Drosophila melanogaster: one gene and its partner. The protein of the gene in region 1 interacts with the protein of each later gene in a pairwise test. Each region holds a gene or a part of one and is shown in the gene's direction. Other genes may lie near its edges. The genes, in order: Gmap and Rab2.

Region 1 (6,681 bases):
ATGCAGTCCATTCCCCACTGGTTCTATAGTTTATATTGCAATTAAAGAAAAGAACAGATTCACAATCTTTTCTTGTAGTCTTGTAGTTCAGCTTTACTTCGGTTATCATTGATTAATACTTCCATTAGTTACAGATATAAATCGCAGATCTTGTTAGATTCTGCATCTTTAGGGGCTTCAGGCATTTTCTTGTGCTATTATTTAGTCATCTGCTGTTCCCAACTGAAAAATTCAATATTCATATATTTATGTATATTGATCTCCACGATCGACTGCATGCGCTCCAACCCGTTACATCCAAATTTCGCTACTGCCAGATTTATATGGGCCAAAAACTCAAAATTAAATCCAAAGACAGAAAATTCTGTTTGTTCGGTCCGCTTGCGATTTACACACACATTGTTGTTGTTGTTGTTCGGCCAGCTTAGTTAAGTCTACAAACTTTATATGCCAATCAATATTTAAATGACTAAACTCTACCATTTTATTATCATTGTTATTGTTGTTACGTAAACGAAACCGAATCGAACCAAAACGAAAAACCATTTTCCAAACAAACAAGTCAAAAACAAAAAACGAAAACAAACCTGACCGACGATAATTGACGATAGCCCGATCGTAGTAATCGCTCGATTACCAATAGCTTCTTCGATAGTGCGACAATCGATCAAATTTGTTATGACCACCACTGTGTGTGTAGTCCTGTGTGCGACTCTGTGGCTGTGTTGGTGGGTGTGTGTGAGCCACTGAAAAAGGTAAAAGCAAATAGAACGATCACACTCACCACACACATGCCCGCCCGCACACACACACACACACACAACCACCCACCCATCCACCCACTCACTCACTCACTGGTGGCGCGAAAGCGAGAGAGAGAGAGAGAGAGAGAGATAATGCGAAAGAGAGATCAAGGCGCACGAAAGTGAGTATACAAAAAGCGATCAAATAGAACCTAACAACTCTCTAAGCAATCTAGGACACCCCGGAAAGGACCCCAGCTGGTGGCCCACAGCCCGAATCCTCTTTCTATTTCCCCTCCAGCATCCTAAGCATCTAGCAACTAGACCTAGATCCTTAGTCGCCGGCGCAGATTCGTAGATCCATACGCTCTAATGTAATTCTCCTCAATGTGTTGCTTCATCCCGTTCCAGGAGCCGAAGCCCAGCAGTCGCCACCGCCAGGAGCGGGACAAGGACAGGGAACGGGACCGCGACCGCGAACGTGACAGGGACAAGGACAAGAAGCGCAGCGATTCAGAACGCAGTCGCGACAAAGGACGCGACAAGAATCACAGCAAGGTGAGACAGAGTCCTAATCAACTCAGCATAACTCAGCCAAACTAATGTCTGTGCTATTTACAGGGCGACCATCGCCACCATCGTACCAAAGACGGCGACAGCCACAGAGAGCGGGAGCGGGATCGTGACCGGGAGAGGGAGCGAGATCGCGACAAGGATCGGGACCGTAGGCGTTCGGAGAAGAGCAGTCGCCACCACAGTGGCAAGGAACGCCATCATCATCATCACAACAACTCATCGTCAGCCGCCGCTGCAGCGGTCAGTGCAGCATCAGTCCGTCGATCCCATGATGAACGCAGTCGTCGTCGCCGGGACTCTCGATCCGGTTCCCGCACACCAACGGGCACGCCGCCCTCTCGTCGCCGCCATCAGTCGCAACAGTCACGCAAATATCGCGAACGCGACTCCAGCAGCCGCTCCAGATCTCCGAAGGAAGAACAAGCCACAACACTTCGCGGTGGAGCTGTGGCCGGATCTCATATGCTGCTCGCTAAATCAGGCGGCGGAGCAGGATCAACGGCAACTAATGCAACAGCAGCGGCGAGGGTTGCAGCGGCCGCTCTGGTAGCTGCCAATGCAACAGCCGCAGCCATGGCAGCCGGTTCATCCGGCGGCGGTGGCGGCGGTCTCCTGCCCACGCCCAACTATGCGCCCAAGATACCCTCGCTGATGTCCTTGGAGCTGAGCACACCAGCGGCAGCAGCACCAGTCGCAGAACCCATCCAGCTGCCCAGTTACTACAATCCGAGCATCATCAATGCCAATCGCTATGCGGAGCAGCAGCAGAAGCGCAAGCTACTGTGGGGCTCCAAGAAGAGCGAGAACTCGGCGAACAAGTGGGGCAACGCGCACTTCTCCCAGGACTCCGACGGCAAGGTGGCCTCCAAGTTTATGCGGCTCATGGGTATCAAGAACGCTGGTACGTCCGGCAATGACGATGGCAAGGGCGGCCAGGCGGAGTCCACCAATGGAAGTGCAGCAGGCGAGGGAAACCGCGCAGTAAGAGGTGCTGCGCCATCGGGAGCCGCTGGCGGAACGAAAGTGCCCACGGACGTGCAGCAGCGCCAGCGCATGTTCTCCAACATGGAGCAGCAGTACGAGATGGCGCGAGCCGCCACACACACGATGCGTGGCGTGGGGCTTGGTTTCGGCTCCCAGCCACGTACTTTCTAGAAGGGATCGGAACGGAGGAGGATCGGCTCCCTGCCAGGCTGTAAATACCATGCCACTCACTCAACTCATTAGTCAGTCAATATGTTTCTCCTCAACAACTTTTTGTTTGTGTTGAGAAAATTTTTTGTTTTTTTGATTTCAAATAAACGTTGCAACAGAATTTATGAAGTGACGTGGCTCTCTCTTTGGATTTGCTTGGGATAAATGCGTCGTTAGGTAGACTTTTAGTCTACACTATTACTAAGTATGCTAAGAGTATCCAACTTTAACTACAAAGTTCAGCGGCTCTAATCGAAGAATGCTTGAATATTCAATAATAAATAAAGGTATTTTTTTTTACAATAAACAATTTTAAATTTTGGCACTCTGTTTAGTAGATGTCAGTTTTTTGCCATGCACCTTGGCGGTCGGTCTGCCTATCGCCAATCGATAGCTGACCAAAAACAATAACAATAACAAAATCAGCTGACGATAGGACGTCGGATATCGATACCATATCACAAACTAATAATAAAAATAATAATAAATAAGAGAATTAATACTACTAGAACACAAACAAAAGCATATAAAGCTTACACATCCTTTATTAAAACAAACAGCCAAATTGGATTTAAATTGTGGAACGAAGCAAACAGAACCGCTTGAGTTTGTGCCACTGCCACGCAAAAAAAATTATCGTTTCCAAAAAACTAAGCATACTTCATCCGAAATTAGCAATCAGCTAGCCAAAAGCGGAGTGATCTCGTCGAGAAGAGCCACGCCCCCTATCCGCCCACGCTGCCCAGAAGAGAGCAGCGAAGATGTCGTGGCTGAACAGCAGTCTCAGCCAGCTGAAGGGCCAACTAACCAATCTGGCGCAGGAAGTTCTGGCCGAAACGGCAGGACCCGGCGACTTGGAGTATGAGGGACATCAAGCAGGAGGTGCTAGCGTCCAAGACGCCGAGCAGCAGGCCAAGACAGCCCTGGAACTGCTGGCCGAAACCCAGGAGCAGAAGGAGCAGCTGGACAAGCGGTGCGAGGAGAAGGATCGTGAGGTAAAGCCAACTCACAGTCACTTTTGCGGCTTCTTCACCAATGGCCATCCGATTGCCCCTTTCAGATAGCCGCCCTGCGCCGAGAACTGGCCAAAAGCAAGCAGAAACAGGAATCCCAGCTGGCAGCCAGCACATCAGCTACGCGGGAACCGCAGTTGGTAAGTGACGTTTGATCCGAGGGACCTGCAGCTGGCCCCCATGTGGCCATGCCACATCCGGTGCCCACTCCGTCTTCCAGGAAACATTGCACTCCGGCGTGGAGTGGTGTTTGACCGGCTTTATCTTTCAAATAAGCGATAAGCCCAGCTCTCGCGCTCTCTGTTTCGCTTTTGGCCACATATCCCTGAATTAATATTTAAACTGCGATAAGCTAGGAGTCGGCACTACCCTAGTTTTATCTGCACTTCTCGCGTTTACCTGATGCCACATTGTATGCTTCACACGGAGAGAAAAATGGTTGCAGTGGCATATTGTTGTTTTCCGTGGCACGATTACAAAGCGCTAGAATTCACCGATTTCTGTTTTGCCAACAATTAAAGGGGGGTTTAAAATAAGCCAAGTTCTCGATTGCAAAGAATGTACTAATAGTATGGCAGGGTAAGCCATATTTCATTAGAGCGTCTTGAGCTTTCGGATTAGCAATCTAATGCTAAAAACGGTTTTATATTAACTTTCTCCTGGATAAATTTGAATTTGAATTTAAACTGATTTTTCATTTGACATCCATTCACCTTTTTCCCCGTGCAACTTCTATTTGATTTCACATTCGGTGGTGTTTGGTGTCTGCTATTTGCCTGGCTGTCATAAATCCCTGGTCTCCTTTTCGATCACCCCATATGCCTGTTAGCCTTATCTAGGCGTGCTGCTAACCCTATCGCTCCATAGCCCTCCGTTCGCCAACTGCTTGTTCAATTTACCGAATTATTTCTGATTAGGCAAGTTACTGCAGCGCAACCCCAAGTGTCTGATATTCCCGTTGAAAATGCAGGGTGACGGGGTTGCATTTGGAGCCATTTGGTTTGGTCACTGGGGCGATGGAGATCTTTCTGAAGCACAACTGTACCAGATTTTCCATAGTCACCTTAAATATAAAAAATATGGCTTTTCACATTGTAGATCTAGTTTTAAAATACTAAATGACATGCATATATAACCATAGCGTTAGATGTTATATTTTTTTCGAAATGATTGAATTACTCTTTGGCAATTTTATTAGAATCGTAGATACTTTATTTAATTCTTAAAATAATGAACCATTGTATTATGATCTAAAGTTCAAATCGATCGCATTGCCAGTAGGTAAAAAATTAGAAATCCCAAAGACTTTACAATATGGATTACGAGTATACTTTCAAACTGCCTGCTTTTTGAAATTTACGGTTCTTTTAATATAATATAAAGTTTTGTAGTTTTTTGTTCATTAAAAATGCTTTTAAAATTGATTGTTTAAAAAACATCAAAATATTTTAATCAATTTATAATCAAATACAATATGATATATATTTATGTTAATTTAACGTGCCATTATGATTTGCCAGATTTTTATTTGCTCTAAATCCGGTTTTGGTTGCAGCTTAAATTGGCAAATTGATCTTTCTAGTTTCGGCCATCATTACTCATGTTTTATATTTGTTTCTGATTAGCTAATCGATTGTGTAAAAATGAGTTCCTATCAAACATGCGAAGCATAAATTATGAGGGAAAATTGCATCATTTAGTACGAATATTCAGAGATAAACCATAAATACTCATTCCTTATCGGAGCTGGCGAAATCTGAACAGTAAGCAGTTGGAAAATCGATACGGATATCTGATACATATATATAATTCTTTCATGTAAGCGATTTTGATCTATTCTTTTAATTTAATGTCGATAGATGAATGGTTGCTCTAGTCAGCTAATTCAAATCTTGATCTTCTTGAGTAAGATATGACTTAATCGGCTCAAACTTTCATCATTTCATCATTTGATTTCTATATATGTGGATATATGTTTTCCCAGATTTTTCCTTCTGGGCTATCTCGCATGTACTATCTAAAGATAGCCATATCTTTTGGATCGATAGTTGGGTCACCATATTGTTTTGCATAATTGCGCCAGGCGACCGGCGATAAGTGTGCCCTCGTCCCCATCTCCATCCCCATTCCCATTCCCATTCCCATTTTCATTCACATCCCTCATGGCCCACCTCCACTGCCACTACCAACTCCTACTCCTCCTTCGTGAATATGGCAATCTGCTCCTGCCAACCATTATCATCCCCATTAGGCGGGCATTTGGGACATCTGCATGGCACCATGCTCGGGTTATCTTATCCGGGCCAAGCTGGCCAGGATCGAGGGGGTTGGTTGGCTGGATTGCCTGGATCCGGGGGCCTATAAAAGCCCGGTTCACCTGCTGGCTGGCATTCATTCGGTTCCGTGTGATCGATTCACGTAGGCCCGCATAAAGTGTTAATTTCTACTCAGTTTCTTTCTCATTCGGTGGGCACAGTTTTGGCCTGAAAAATTACAGAAAAGAAAAAACGCAAAACAAACGCGATTTGCATTTGAAAATCGTGTGAAATTTTCCTCCAAAAAGAAGGTCAATTTTTCTTAACATTTTTTTTTGTTTGTTTGTTCTTTGCATTCATTTTTTATTGCCGGAAGTCTCGCGACGACTGCATTTTAATTTTTTTTTTCGTGTGTTCTGGTGTGTACTTTTGCTCTATTTATTTTGGGTGAGTTGAAAATTACGTAGATAGTGTGTAGTTTTTCGTGTTCATTCCCATATGCAACAGGAAAATTAGTCTAATTGTCAAATTTATGAGCGCAATGATTTGATGACTTTCGGTGAGGAATTAAAACTCCAAAACTCTAAAACCGAAAAACTCAAAAACCCTCGACACGCATCTGGCGTTGATAATAAGCCACGAAAATTGAGCTAAATGGTAAATTAGGGGGGATATTTTAATAAAAGTCCATTGTTCAAAAGACAGCTTAGGTAGGCAAACATGTTTGTCAAAATATTTGGCTTTCTGTATTCAATTGTATAAATATATTCGTTATTAGAAGTTTTACCTGTTACTGTACCTAACTAATGGTAAAGTGAGTTATATAATGTCTAGCTATGTTTATTATGAAATAATGATTGCAGATCAATAATTATTTAGTTTTCTTCTGTTAACATTAAG
Region 2 (6,773 bases), on another chromosome or scaffold:
ACCAACAGCCTATGCACGAAGTGAATATCGTTTGACAAATTTATCACAGGAGGATCGTACTTGCCCTTGGTGTGTTTATGTATGTACTTCTTTTATTGCAATTTCTGTTGTGTATATAGTAATTTTGTATAGTAAAGTTCACGTTTTAGTCACGTACAGCTGTGTTGGTGTTTTGGCTGCCAGTAGTCAAGGGAATTTAGTTTAGTTTACGGGGATTTGACGTGGAATCAGCCACGAGAAGGTCGTGTGCCTACATATAATTTATTAAAATAAGGAGTTAAACATAATCGTAATATAACTTGCGAAATAATTGCTGACTTAGGATCAGATGGGGCGAGCGGGTTTGAGGGGGTCTGCCCTTGTTACTTAGTTATCGTTATGTAGCTCTATGTGTATCTGACATCTAAACTACATACAAGATCTGCATTAGAGTCGGGTCCGCGTGGAATCGTTTCCCTGTCAGGGTGAGCCAACCCAACTTGCAAGCTATTGGTAAATATAAATAGATGTATGTTGAATGAGTGTTTCATGCGAGTCTGACTAATCTGGGCGGGCTCCTAAGCCTCGCTTTCGCCAGGGGCCGCGTTTTCACCCACGTTGATGGGCACGATCAGATTCTCCTTCGACATCAGATTATATTTTGTGACGAAATGCGTGAAACGGTGGCACAGATACGTCTCGGCCTCGAATTCGTCGAAAATGCGACGATGGTGAAAGTAGGCGTGCGAGAAGATGCGATACACCCGCCGACATACGGAGCCCAGCTTGGTTACCGACGACTCCTTGATGGACACCCTGGGAGAGACACTTTGCTTATTATGTGGCTAGTTCAACCATGTCGCTAAGCCTGCATACCTGCTAGGGAAGTACTTGTTGCTGTTTAGCAGACAGGCGGCACCGTCCAGCGTGTGGCGTGTGTAGTCAATGGCCGGACATTCCTTGGGCGTCTTGTGCGCGGCGCACAGGAATATCCACTGGTCAGTGGCTGTCATCTGGGTGCACGTCGACGGCGAGCACTCCTTCTGCAGCCGCACTGCCAGGCCGTTCAGCTCCATGCAGAACTGGCGCAGGTGCTCGTACTTCCACACGCCCTCATCCTGGGCTTCGGGCATGGTCAGTATGAGTTCCACGTTGCTCGGGTCGCGCTTAATCAGCTGCTGTATGTACTGCTGCACCGCCAGCGTGCTGTCCATCTCCTCCAGGGGCTCGTCGGGCCAGCGACAGAAGTCCTGAAAGGCGAAACGGAAAACGGGTCAGACGGGCCGGGCCGGGATCGTTGTTCGGACGCCATGTCATCGCTCACCTTGGATTTTGTGCCTGGCCGGTTCCTACGCAATATGGTCGAGCCGTCAGCCATCTTCATGTTTCACCCGCTCGAAGACGCGATGATCCACAACGTCTGTGCCTACGCCTTGATGAGAAAATCACTGGCAGAAACTGAATGCTAGCCTGGTCCCTGCCCCGCGGGAGTCTCCGGATGTGGGATCCCTGCACCGTAGTATGCTGAGTGTATTCTACAGGAGCTGGCACATCGCTTGACAATTAATTGGCGTTTATCCTCCAAAACACTTTGCTTTGTGCGAGAAAATTTCTGACAAATTCTACATACATACATATACCTATCGATTGGCCAGCGGCAGTGCGCATCGTTATCGATAGGGCGATTGCAGCCTTGCGGTATTTCGGTATTTCCGCCAGCCCTGGCCACAAAGTGGCCACACTGTCGCTAGCCAGTCATCATAAATACGAACAGATTGGAAAACGTACAAGAATTGCGTATTATCTGTGGCATTACGAGATCGTACTTTCTAAAAACTAGCTTACCGTAACCCCCGTCAGCTTAAAACATGTCCTACGCGTACTTGTTCAAATACATCATTATCGGAGACACAGGTGAGTGCAAGCTGCGACTTCCTTTGAAACGGAATGGCCAGTGAAAAGTTGGCCATTGTCAGGGAAACAATCTGTAATTGCAAACAACACAACAAAACAAAGGGCATCGCAGGCGTAGGGGTCGTACCCGAAAATCAAAAAATGGGGGTTTCAGGTGGTCTCAAGTGAAAAATTGATACCGTGAGATCAAAATTGCGTCGGCAGGAAAATATTCCTGGAGTCGGTGGGCCGAAGGAAAAATCAATAATACCATAACAACGCATACAGGCGTTTGCTGCTCTCAGAGTTAGTGGTGCGCGGGGAGCAGCCCACACATAAACCCTGCTGCTGACTCACCCAACCACCCCCAGTAATTGAGGGATTCCGCCCCAAAGAGCCACGGGCTTATCAGCACTCTGCTTTTCGGGATGTCCAACAGCTGTTGGCATTTTCCAGCCTGTCCCACCTTTTCCCCGCTCGCCCACTAACCCTTTTCCGTTTCCGCAGGCGTGGGCAAGTCCTGTCTGCTGCTCCAGTTCACGGACAAGCGATTCCAGCCGGTGCACGACCTGACCATTGGCGTGGAGTTCGGAGCACGCATGATCACCATCGACGGCAAGCAGATCAAGCTTCAAATCTGGGACACGGCTGGGCAGGAGGCTTTCAGGTACCCACTTCTGTTCATTTAGTGTTAATACTTAAGAAGGGATAAGTGAAAGCTCAGATTACTTCCAAAATTGAACTGAATAAATTTTTGCAAATTTCGTATCCAAAACCCCAAGTCCAAGGCGGATAATAATTCGGCTCGTTTTTTATATTAAATAAAATAATTTGAATAAAATTCTTACTTAATGATCCAAAATAATAATAATATATATATATAGAGCCTTTAGTAAAAAGGCTTAATAATTTGTATTCAAAAAATTTTATTTGCTTCATTTCGGCACATTGTTGATAGATGTTTATTTAAAAAAGTTTTAATTCTATCATTTTTAATTTTTTGTGATATAAATTTTTTATACTTTACTTAAAATTAAATAGAAGTCGTCAGACAGAAATTTAATGGGTTACTAATAATTAAATAATATAAGCACTGTCATTTATATAACTGTATTGTGACGCAAAATATTTCTTGAATAGATCTATCACACGCTCTTATTACCGCGGAGCTGCTGGCGCCTTGCTGGTGTACGACATCACGCGACGGGAGACCTTCAACCACCTGACCACCTGGCTGGAGGATGCGCGTCAGCACTCGAACTCGAACATGGTCATTATGCTGATAGGCAACAAGAGCGATTTGGATTCGCGGCGTGAGGTGAAGAAAGAGGAGGGCGAGGCCTTCGCCCGCGAGCACGGACTGGTCTTCATGGAGACTTCTGCGCGCACAGCTGCCAACGTAGAGGAGGCGTTCATAAATACGGCCAAAGAGATTTACGAGAAGATCCAGGAAGGTGTCTTCGACATCAACAATGAGGTAAGAAGGATACATTTAACTTAGAAACTTCTTGCCACTACATTATTATCTCGTTACTAGGCAAACGGCATTAAGATCGGCCAACAGCACTCCCCCACAAACCCGTCGCTCCCAGGAGCCGGAGGAGCAGCTGGAGCAGCAAACAGTGGCTGCTGCTAGGAGTAAACCGCAGATGCCCGATTGCAATTCTGGGATAGGCGCAGCCGCTTCTGTAAAAGCTACTTTAGTGACTAACTAATAGAAGGTAGTTGAAGGAACAGATTTCTTGTTTTCTATCTCAACCGTAACTAACCACGTAAACATAGCTACCACTAATCTAGCAATTGGACACTAAGCTAAATGTTAAAACCATTAAGATCAGACAGTTACAAGAAACACATCTCCTTGTTCAGCTACGTTTTATTTTACCAAAAAAAACCAAAAGGAAGAAGTAACCAGAAATAAACCAAAACAAACCACATTTGTGTACGTGAATGTCGTGCGTGATTTCTAAATTTTATAAAGTTTATTGAAACATTTTTAAATGTTTTATGCATGTATTTTGTGTATATTGAAGTTAGTTTGCTAGTTACTTCGTGTAAAATCGATAGTTATACATTGGGATTTTGACAAAATGATGTGTAATATATGAACAAAAATCAAACTGTGTGAATTTTCATTGTGATTCGATTTCAGTGAGGTCCAGCTTCGCAACGCTGCGCCACGCCCCCTTTTGCAATGGGTATCTGCTCCGCTTCTCTATACACACATACATAATTAAATATATTAATATGTTTACGTTTCCTTCTCAACGCATTTGCTTTGTCTATTTTGTTGTGCAATCCGCTTAGTCTTTATACATACACTAGAAAAAAAGTACTTTAACAAAATATACAAAACGTGAGGGCCGAAATGGGGTTATATAATTTACACAATCAACATGCATTAACCAGTGGTAACACGAAATGCTGCGATTCAATGATCAATTTAGTATTTTACGAAGTTTATATATTTAATTAACGGCGATTGCTAAGACAAAACGAAAGATACAACTGTAAACGTAAATCAAATTATTTATAATATTTGTATTTGCCCAACACAATGCGGAATAATAAATATACATACTTACTATTAATATAATTATATAAATTAAATCGGTACTTACCTTGGGTTCATTAGCGTTTAATCAAGTGATAGTTAACGACTAATTAGTTTTTTGGTGTCTAGATGAGAAGTAAAACACTAAGGCAAATTTAATGAGGCATTTAAAGTTGTAAACAACTCAACTTTTAAATGAAAAGAGGTCAGACAAATAATTACGCATTAGTGTAGTTTTAACCCTTTTTATTTAGTAAGAGGCTTTCGGTAGATAATTGTTGAATTAATGTCTTGTAAATATTATTAAATGGTGAATCCTTTTTTGTTTATGTACATATTTCCTAAAGTGTTCGGAATTAACAATTTCCACTTTCTATGTCGGCTATAGGGATATAGTGTCGCATTTACTTAATTTTTTTAAATGTGCTTACATGTTAAAACATTTTTTTACTACTGAAATATACTATTTAGAAATATTTTTGTATTTTTTTTTAATAATACTTGAACTTTTAAGATATTACATAGGTTTGTTTCTTATTTTCTGAATCTTATCTGTGTTTTGTCTAAGAAAAAGTTTGCCAAACTGCAAAAACAAGTTTTTCGCTTCAACATTAACTATTTTTTATACCCTAATTTGCTCAGTTGGTTTTTTTTAATTGGAAACTATTCGGATCCGTGACGTTTGATGTACAAACAAATGCTCCAAAGATTTTATTGTGAGTTTTAGATTGATTGAAAATGGTCACTTGTTATTGCATACGTTACATAGATTGTTGTTTATTGTATTCCCTTTAATTAATATTCGTACGAAATGTAAGGCAATTAAAACTATTTTTCTAAATTTTGTAAAGAAGACAATTGAGGGACCCGTTTGCACCTGGCAGTGATGCACTGCATTGATATTGATTGAAATTGAACAGTTTGTCTAGACAAAGATGCGGTTAGTAATTGCCCTAGTGCGGTAAGTATATGTTAGGTGTATATTGATACTTAGCTACGATTAGTCAAGTCAAGTATAGTCTTACAGGCTAGAGCTTAGGAATAGGCTTAGTTTCAGTTACAATTCTGCTCTGATTTTATGGCTGCAACACCATTTGACATAAGAAACTCGTTAACATTTAATGCTAGTCCATTATTATGCTACAGTTCGGATTTGTAGTACCTCCAGTTGCCTTCTACTTGCGGCGTTCAACAGTGCAATGTAAGTAACCTAGTGTAAAAGTTGAGCTTTTTTAGTCTCTAAGACATCACTATCACTCTCCTTAGGTGCTTTCTTTTCACAGAACTCGATCAGATACGAACAGACACCAGAGAGTGCGATAAATATTCCAGCATAATAGAAGGTGTCATCCCATCTGAAAGAGGACAACGGGTGGTCAGATAACCTGTGCACAGACTGTAGAATGCCGCCCAACTCACCTGCCCGTATACTCGTATATGACGCCTGCAATAGGGGGTCCTGCGATCATTCCAACTCCCTGAACCAGCAGCACCAGACCGTAGGCACACGTGAAATCGTCCAGATCCACAATACTGACCAGAATGCTGGGCGTAAACGAGAAGGAGCTGGCGAACGTAAATCCGAAAATAACGCACATGACCATCAGGCCCATGTAGTTGGTAATCAGCAGGGGCATGAAGAACACAGACGCTCCGCACACTGAAAAATATAATAAATAATAAATTCAATTGATAAATTGAAAATGTGACATAGTCCAAGCACTCACCCAGCATGCACAGCGAGTAGCATATATTGATGTTCATCCAGGACAGATCCCCCAGATAGCCAAGTCCTATCATGCCCACCGTTTGGGCAATGCCGACATCCGAAATCAACTCGGCACTCTGGCTCACGTCGTACTTGTATTGCTTCATGTAATCGGGAAGGTACAGATAGGGGATAATGAACCTGTGGAGCGTGCCAAAAAGTAGATTAGCCGCTGATTGAGCAGAGGAGCCTTATCTGGTCAATGTTGAGGAGTTAGCATTGATTTCAACTAGTTTTCTTATCGATCTATTAGGGCACTCGGACTCCGCAGTCGTGGGGTAAGATAAACCATGATCTTGAACAGCTAAGGGGGCCTACTAACTGAGCTGATCGATAACGTTGTGCTTGGAATTTCACCGCTGTTGGCCAACAATATTGTTGTGCAACGCTTTTCGTTTTCGAACAGCTGCCAAAATTGTTTGCGACGTCTTCTGGCAAAATAAACAAATTCACGCGACGGCTTGGCACATTTGTCTATTAATTTTAGCATTTATTGCGCCTTGAGTTCATGCACAGCTTGGGGCCTTTGCCAATGAAATTGTTTTTTTTTTTTTTTTATTAATATCACCAAAGAGTACT

The links.
Region 2: the proteins of Gmap (region 1) and Rab2 interact in a two-hybrid assay, tested with the Drosophila melanogaster proteins (one study listed by BioGRID).

Annotation. Positions count from the first base shown.
Region 1 is NC_004354.4:15,483,968-15,490,648, forward strand, and holds the start of Gmap (golgi microtubule-associated protein), read left to right. Parts: upstream 1-2,954; 5' UTR 2,955-3,274; coding exon 3,275-3,508; intron 3,509-3,573; coding exon 3,574-3,666; intron 3,667-5,913; exon of another isoform or gene 5,914-6,228; intron 6,229-6,681. Other genes in the region: CG6340 (uncharacterized protein), read left to right, coding at 1,155-1,301, 1,365-2,474.
Region 2 is NT_033778.4:6,695,037-6,701,809, forward strand, and holds Rab2 (Rab2), read left to right. Parts: upstream 1-1,702; 5' UTR 1,703-1,847; coding exon 1,848-1,893; intron 1,894-2,379; coding exon 2,380-2,539; intron 2,540-3,012; coding exon 3,013-3,349; intron 3,350-3,409; coding exon 3,410-3,508; 3' UTR 3,509-4,433; downstream 4,434-6,773. Other genes in the region: CG3270 (uncharacterized protein), read left to right, coding at 1-35; Mob4 (MOB kinase activator 4), read right to left, coding at 558-807, 856-1,229, 1,304-1,363; chk (chaski), read right to left, coding at 5,637-5,781, 5,846-6,086, 6,154-6,335. UniProt on the Drosophila melanogaster protein: May be involved in bidirectional endoplasmic reticulum (ER) to Golgi trafficking. Together with Rab7 involved in promoting fusion of autophagosomes and endosomes with lysosomes, probably through recruitment of the HOPS tethering complex.